Macaca fascicularis: one gene and its partner. The protein of the gene in region 1 interacts with the protein of each later gene in a pairwise test. Links are inferred from orthologs where the notes say so. Each region holds a gene or a part of one and is shown on either strand. Other genes may lie near its edges. The genes, in order: CREB1 and TSSK4.

The links.
Region 2: the proteins of CREB1 (region 1) and TSSK4 interact in binary tests that used the Homo sapiens proteins (3 or more experiments, as listed by UniProt). The link is inferred for Macaca fascicularis from reciprocal best matches to the Homo sapiens genes CREB1 and TSSK4.

What each region holds. Positions count from the first base shown.
Region 1 is NC_088386.1:103,521,742-103,525,555, reverse strand, and holds part of CREB1 (cyclic AMP-responsive element-binding protein 1), read right to left. Parts: intron 2,015-3,814; coding exon 1,832-2,014; intron 634-1,831; coding exon of another isoform or gene 617-633; exon of another isoform or gene 611-616; coding exon of another isoform or gene 571-610; intron 1-570.
Region 2 is NC_088381.1:92,011,433-92,015,845, reverse strand, and holds the start of TSSK4 (testis-specific serine/threonine-protein kinase 4), read right to left. Parts: upstream 2,919-4,413; 5' UTR 1,602-2,918; intron 1-1,601. Other genes in the region: TM9SF1 (transmembrane 9 superfamily member 1), read left to right, coding at 3,615-3,959. UniProt on the Homo sapiens protein: Serine/threonine kinase which is involved in male germ cell development and in mature sperm function. May be involved in the Cre/Creb signaling pathway. Phosphorylates CREB1 on 'Ser-133' in vitro and can stimulate Cre/Creb pathway in cells.

The DNA of each region.
Region 1 (3,814 bases):
TTTTTCATTTGAATGCAGTTCTATTCTGTTGTTAACATGCTTACCAACCTTAAGTCTAAAAGGTAAGTGGGGCACAGCTTGGATGATCTTCCTAGATAGAGTATAGTCCTCAATGTCTTCCTTTGATATTGGTAAATTCATATTAAAAAATTTCAAGTAGACTCTTGCCACGACATAAAAACGACCATGATTTTTCATAAAATAGCAAAATGAAAAAGAAGATAAAGCATTATGGTCAACTATTATAGATTTTGAATTAAAACAAAACTGAAAGTATGAAAAAGTGTATCACCTGATGCCAATTATATTATTTGAAAACATATTGTTTTAATGTAAATGATAATGACTAAATAAACTGAAGTTTTATTTTTCTGATTCACCATTTGTAAAAACAAACACAATCACTATTTGTCAAACTGCTTCTAAAAACAGTGTAATAATATGCTCTCCTAAGGAACCTAATGTTACTTAAAAAATTTGAAGGTCTTTATTAAATTATTAATATTAATTATTAATATCAATTAAAAAGTATGCTTTGAGTGGAAAAGATTTATATACTAAACATGTTACCATCTTCAAACTGACGTTCAGAATTCAAATTCACTGACATCCTGCTTTACAATTTTTGAGTACCTGCATGTAAAGTGAAAAGGTGTTTTACTCTCATCAATAAGCAAAATAGTATCTTTTTCAAATACTCGCTTAATAACAGAATATATTCTGTAAACATTAGGGCTCTTTAAATAAGTTATGACTCTCTCCAGTTGGTGTTTCAGGATTATTCAATTATCCATGGTGAAAGGATACAACTGTCATTACCTAACCCAGGCAAAATACATTATCATTTATAAAAATATTTTCAGAAACAGATTTATTATTATTTCCTCAATCAGCAAATTTCTAACCTGGCATTAACTATATTCCTGAAATATTCAAACGAATCCAAAGAAAAATGGTTAACTGATATCCATAAAGATTCCTGAAACAGACAGAAAAAAACAATTAAACTAAAAAAAAAAAAAACAAGAAAAACCCCCAAAAACAAAAAAGCAACTTCTATAATTTGTCAAGAATTTAACAACTACTTTTTCTCTAAAGAACAGCATAAGATGGTATAAGATTTTGTGGAATATAATGTTTTCATTTGAAATAAAAACTGGGTCAAGTGCAGAGGCATCCCAACACTTTGGGAGCCCGAGAAAGGAGGATTACTTGAGGCCCGGAGTTCAAGACTAGCCTGGGCAACACAGTGAGACCATGTCTCTAGAAAAAAAAAAAAAAATAATAAAAACTGATGATCTCAGAAGATTTAAATTTCTTTTGAATAAAAAGCACAGAAACAGAATCCTGAACTTCTAAAGACTGTTTTCAGAGATTTAGTGCAACTCTTATTTTACACATGAAAACAAAACAAAACAAAAACGATAAAAAACAAACAAACAAACAAAAAAAAAACACTTTTCTGAGGCCCAGAGGAGCTTTTACTCAAGGCCTCATAGCAGATTCATGCAGTTAGATATAGAATCCATCTTTTCTAACTCCTGATTTCCTGGTCTTTCCTTCTAACCTGTCCTGTTTCTTCTACCCCAAATAGTAAAGATGTTAAAGGCAGATGCAATATTTTAAAAACTGAAAATAGTTGTTTTTATGCCATGACATTTTGGTCCAATTGGAATAATGGAAGAGTTCATGGAAAATACTATCTATATTGAAGAAATGTTAACTACATTTGAATGGAGCTTTGTAATATGATACTTACTTTTTCTGTGAGTTTATAAAATTTTAGTATTTTGAAGAATTTACCACACCTGTGAATTCTGAAGTCCCTTACCTTGAACAACAACTTGGTTGCTGGGCACTAAGATCTGCTGTCCATCAGTGGTCTGTGCATACTGTAGAATGGTAGTACCCGGCTGAGTGGCGGCTGCATTGGTCATGGTTAATGTTTGCAGGCCCTGTACCCCATCGGTACCATTGTTAGCCAGTTGTATTGCTCCTCCCTGGGTAATGGCAACTAAAATCCAATGGATTTTATTGTTACAAGTTTAATACCATATAAGACTTTTAAAACACTAAATCCAATGTAGAATAATTTGTAAAATAGTCTAGGAGAAATTACAGCAAATAACATCACCAAGAAGTGTCTGATATATTCAAGTAACTTGCTGCTCAGGAAACCCATATTCAATTTCTACAATAGAAATGCACTCTATGAACTGCATTCTAATTTATAATAATAATGCCTGTTAACAATTTTTTAAATGGAAAAATGTTAAATTCCTTCTGAAGTTATCTGGTTCTGCAGAGGTTCCACTCTGTGATCCTTTATTTCAGCATTAACTACATAATGTATTAACACTTGTCCCACTAATAAATAAATTTCTGGAGAGTAGGAATTTTCTTATCTACTTTCATACACTTAGCACAGTGGCAGCCATGAAATAGGCACCCAATAAATGGTTGTTTTAACATATAACTAATAAAGCAGTTCATCAGTGCATTCTATTCCCTAACTCTTGTAGAAATTCATTAATGGTATCTAATCTACTGAATGAAACAACTGAAATATCCTATGGAACTTAATTATCAACAGTCTCTCATGGAATTTTAAAATCAGAGCTCAAGGTCATCACTTAGAAAAAAAAATCTTTTACTGTCAATTTCTAAATTATTTAATACATATCCAAGCATTTTCATATGGAACCCGTTATTTACGCCCTAATTAACCACACCTGCCATTCATTTGTTAAACAATAAATCAGTCAACTTTTGCTCATACTAGTAGATATTTCACTTTATGAAAAACTAAATCAACTTTATGCTACAGTACATAGAAAAATTTAATTTAAAAATTAGATTGTTTATTTGGAAGAAGGATTTAGATAGGTGGCAATATCCTCTCTAGACAATTCACCCTGTAGGGGGTCAAGCTTTTCAGAACGAGAAGGACAGAAAATCACAATATCACATATAAAACTGTACAACTGATTTTAACTAAGAAAAAAGTAAACAATGCAGGAAAGTCAACATGTCTGATTAAGCATGTCCATTAGAAGGGAATTAGTTTGGGATCAGTTATCCAACAGCTATGGGATATAACATCCTGAGTCACCTGTACATGGGAAATTGATTATCTATTGCCTAATCAAGAAATAAGAAGAGTTAATGGCTACAGTGTGATAAGTTTAGCAAAATGATACTTGTGAAAATTAAGACGCTGGCATATACACTGGATCTAGTTTAGCGAATCCCAGAAGTTTTACTTCTCTTAGGCAGGGAGAAAAATGAGTAAGAACTATTCTAAGATTAATTTTGCATGATTACTTGAAAGAATCAGAAGGTTAACAGAAACAAATCACAATTTCTCATTTAGAGTTAATGAGTGAATTCTACTGTATTTAACATACCACTTTCTTCTTGGCTACAGAGCAGTAAACTCAAGGTGGGAAGAAGAAAGCAGAAATAGTAAACCATGTATGACAAGACTGAGTTGTAGTGTGAGTTCCATCACTGAACAGTTTAATTTTTTTCTTTTGAGACAGGGTCTTGTTCTGTTTTATAGGCTGGAGTGCAGTGGCAAGATCTCAGCTCACTGTAGCCTCCAACTGCTGGGCTGAAGTGATCCTCCTGCCTCAGCCTCCCAAGTAGCTAGCACAGGCCATCAGGCCCCACTAATTTTCTAAAAACATTTTTTTGAAGAGATAGGGTTTTGCTATGTTGCCCAGGCTGATCTTGAACTCCTGGCCTCAAGCAGTCTTCCCACCTTGGCCTCCCCAAGTGTTGGGATCACAGACACGAGCCACTGTGCCCAGCC
Region 2 (4,413 bases), on another chromosome or scaffold:
GGATAAGTAGGGAATAGGAGATTGGGTGGTTTAGGCAGGAGGAACAATATGAGGCTTGTAGGCTTGAGAGAATATGATATTCAGTATTTCTATTTGAATACAGGATAGGGTTCCAGAAGGGGAATGTACCTCGAGAAGTAATTAGGATCCAGGTCTGAGCGGTCTCATATGCCAGGCTATTTTGACTTTACCTTGTATGCTCATATAATCTGGGTATACATCACAATCAGTGCTGGCCGGTCGTGGTGGCTCACGCCTGTAATCTCAGCACTTTGGGAGGCTGAAGCAGGCAGATTATGAGGTCAGGAGATCAAGACCATCCTGGCTAACACGGTGAAACCCTGTCTCTACTAAAAAATACAAAAAAATTAGCCAGGCGTGGTCCGGGCGCCTGTAGTCCCAGCTACTTGGGAGGCTGAGGCAGGAGAATGGCATGAACCTGGGAGGTGGAGCTTGCAGTGAGCTGAGATTGCGCCACTGCACTCCAGCCTGGGAGACAGAGCGAGACTCTGTCTCAAAAAAAAAAAAAAAAAAAAAAAAAACGAAAACAAAATCAGTGCTTATTTTTTTGAGACAGAGTTTGGTTCTTGTTGCCCAGACTGGAGTGCAATGGTACAGTCTCAGATCACCGCAACCTCCGCCTCCCGGGTTCAAGCGATTCTCCTGCCTCAGCCTCCCAAGTAGCTGGGATTATAGGCATGAGCCACCATGCCCGGCTAATTGTTTTGTATTTTTAGTAGAGACGTGGTTTCACCATGTTGGCCGGGCTGGTCTCGAACTCCTGACCTCAGGTGATCCACCCACCTCGGCTTCCTAAAGCGCTGGGATTACAGGTGTGAGCCACTGAGCCCGGCCTCAGTGCTTGCTTTAAAAAAAAGAAAAGAAAATGCTGATGACCAGGTAACCCCTCTCCTGAGAATCCTGATTTTAAAAAAGTAGAGAACTTTTATATCTAGCTGGAGGATCGTATGTGCACTAGTCAGCACTCTGTGTCTAGCTCAGGGTTTGTGAATACACCAATTGGTACTCTGTATCTAGCTAATCGAATGGAGACTTGGAGGACTAGCACTCTGACTCTGTGTCCAGCTCAAGGATTGTAAATGCACCAATTGGCACTCTGTGTCTAGCTCAAGGTTTGTAAATACACCAATCAGTACTCTGTGTCTAGCTCAAAGTTTGTAAACATATCAATTGGTACTCTGTATCTAGCTAACACTGTATCTAGCTAACTAGCACTCTGTGACCCTGTGTCTAGCTCAAGGATTGTAAACGTACCAATCAGCACTCTGTCAAATCGGACCAATCAGCTCTCTGTAAAATGGACCATCAGCAGGATGTGGGTGGGGCCAGATAAGGGAATAAAAGCAGGCTGCCCGAGCCAGCAGTGGCAACCCGCGGGGGTCCCCTTCCACCCTGTGGAGGTTTTGTTCTTTCACTCTGTAATAAATCTTGCTGCTGCTCACTCTGGGTCCATGCTGCCATGAGCTGTAACACTCAAGGCGAAGGTCTGCAGCTTCATTCCTGAAGCCAGCAAGACTACAAACCCACCGGGAAGAACAAACAACTCCTGAGGCACTTCCTTTAAGAGCCGTAACACTCACCACGAAGGTCTACAGCTTCACTCCTGACAGCAAGACCACGAACCCGCCAGAAGGAAGAAGCTCCAGACACATCTGAACGTCTGAAGGAATAAACTCCGGACACACCATCTTTAAGAACTGTAACACTCAATGTGAGGGTCCACGGCTTCCTTCTTGAAGTCAGTGAGACCAAGAACCCACCAATTTCGGACACACTTGGATTACAGGTGTGAGCCCACTGTGCCCGACCTCAGTTCTTTTTCTAATTACAAAATTCACTGATTGTCTAAAAAACTCCACCATCTACTTCTTTGACCCTCACCTATGTCTGCAGGGAGATGAACTGGGTCATAAAGGGCAGTAATTGTAGAAGCAGGTAAATTAAGGGCTTTTCAGGCCAGAAGTCATTTGTGATTTTTCCACTGTGCTTCTTCCCCTGGGGAGAGAGAACCTTAAGTCCACTTCCTTACACGTTGCTCCCAGGTGGCGAAACAGAAGTCACTACTCAAAGGTCCAATTTTCAAGGGGAACTCCCTAGACGGCAGATCCCCTTTAAAATCGCTGAGATAAACACAAGAGTAAACTTTTTCAAAATAATTTGCCATAGAAAGTTAAGAGAAGCCCAAAGACATACACAGTGATAAATAAGAACAAAAACATAGAAGAAGACTAACGGACCGCGAGATACTTTACCAATTAACAATAACCGTGTCAGGCTGCCCAACTCAGAGAGTGAAAGGACAGACACCCTCTCTCCTTGGGCGCCTCTGCGCCAGACCGGGTTTCGGCTTGCTTATGGTGGGGCACTGAACGCTCACTGTGCGGCCAGGGAAGTCTCCAGCATAGCCTCTGGAAGACATTCCTATTACATATTTATTACTTTGGCGCGGGCCATTCGTGACAGGTGGGAGAGGAGTGAGGTGAGATTCAGACGGTGGGACCCTTGCATGGGACAGATGCCCAGAGCCCCTTCCCCAGTTGGGGGGCCACGAACCGCCTCGCAGGGCTCAGCAGCTGGTGGTTCAGCTGGCAAGTGCCTCGAACAAAGCCGCCGCCTGCGCTCCATCTCCCCGGCCCTCGCTAGGCTCTTGCCTGCGGGTACACCTCTCGGGCCTCGGCCAGGGCGAGCCTCCTGGCCAAGAGCTCTCAAACCCCAAATCTTTCCCGGAGCAAGCGAGCGGCCTAGATGCCACTCCTCTCCCGAAGGGGCGTCAGGGTCCTGGCTGCCAGGCCTCAGCCCCCTCCCCGGGAAGCCGTCGCGAAGGGGTCCCCAGGGGCTGCAGCGTCTAAGGCCCTCTACATTCAATGCAACAAGCTTTCCGCCAGGCTGAGGTCCCCGCCGCTGAGGGCGGAAGTGGTAAGACTGACGTGTCCTGGGCCGCGCTGCCGATCGCCGGGAGGACCCCCGCCTTGCCCAGGACGGGCGGGGCGAGCCGAGCCTCACGGGGTCGCCGGAGCTGGGCCGGGCCTCCAGATGGAGAAGGCGCAGCGGGGAGTTCTTGAGTAAGCCAGAGCTGTGTCCAGCGCGGTGTAGCCGCAGCTGCAGCTGTCAGGCGCAGCAGCGGGCAACCCCGTGGAGGTCGGTTGGCAGGTCCTCTCCAACCCGCCGCTACCGCGCCGCTCTGGTAGAGACCCCGGCAGGAGCCCAAGGGCAGCTACGGGGCCGCGGAGGCCGCTGGCGCCGCCTCGGCCAGCCCTTCCCGCGCGGTGAGGACCTCGGGGCTATGGCGGGAAGGGACCCGAGGTGCGAGACCGCGCGGCGTTGTCATGGAAACGGGCCAGGGCGCGAAATAGAGGCCCCGGGCCGGACGGGCTGCGGGAGGGATGAACCCCAGGTTGGGAGGATGAGAGAGCTGAAGTGGAGCGGGGTCTTTGGGATAGAGAGAGGCGGGGTAGGGTGGGGGCGGGGAGGGGGTCAATGGGAGCAAGTGGAGCCAGGGGACCTCAGTTCGAGGCACCTGACCTGGGGTTTCTGTAACCTCCCTGGTTTCTGTAACCTCAGGATTCCCCCAAACAGGTTCCACTGCCTTAAGGATGACAGTCATAGGGAACCCTCGAAGTTGGAGCTGCCAGTGGTTGCCAATCCTGATACTGTTGCTGGGCACAGGCCATGGGCCAGGGGTGGAAGGCGTGACACACTACAAGGCCGGCGACCCTGTTATTCTATATGTCAACAAAGTGGGACCCTACCATAACCCTCAGGAAACTTACCACTACTATCAGCTTCCAGTTTGCTGCCCTGAGAAGATACGTCACAAAAGCCTTAGCCTGGGTGAAGTGCTGGATGGGGACCGAATGGCTGAGTCTTTGTATGAGATCCGCTTTCGGGAAAACGTGGAGAAGAGAATTCTGTGCCACATGCAGCTCAGTTCTGCACAGGTCAGCCTCTCCACATTGGCTATCATGTAGCCCTCCTTCCCAGAGACTAACAGTGCCTTACATATATGGTTCAGGGTACCTTTATGGAAATTGTCTGATTTGATTCTAACTACAATACAACCCAGTGTGGCAGGCAGGGTAGGTGATGCTATTCTAATTCAGTTGACTAAGTTACGAACTTGCTTAGAAGTTACTTTTTTCAAGATTACATTGACAGTGAATTGCAGAACTGATATCAGAGCCCAGGGTTTCTTACTGCAAGCTTCTCTGTTGGTCATGAGGTCCCAACTATCAGTCCTACATATTTCTGTTTCCTTCCATGCCTACCTCTTGGCTGTTTCTTAACTGTTTTCCTGTAGTCTCTACCTAACCTTCCCTGTCATGCTTTTTCTTTAGTGAATCCTGGTACTTCTTAGTCCACTCCAGACTTCCTTACACCTTACCACTCTCCTGT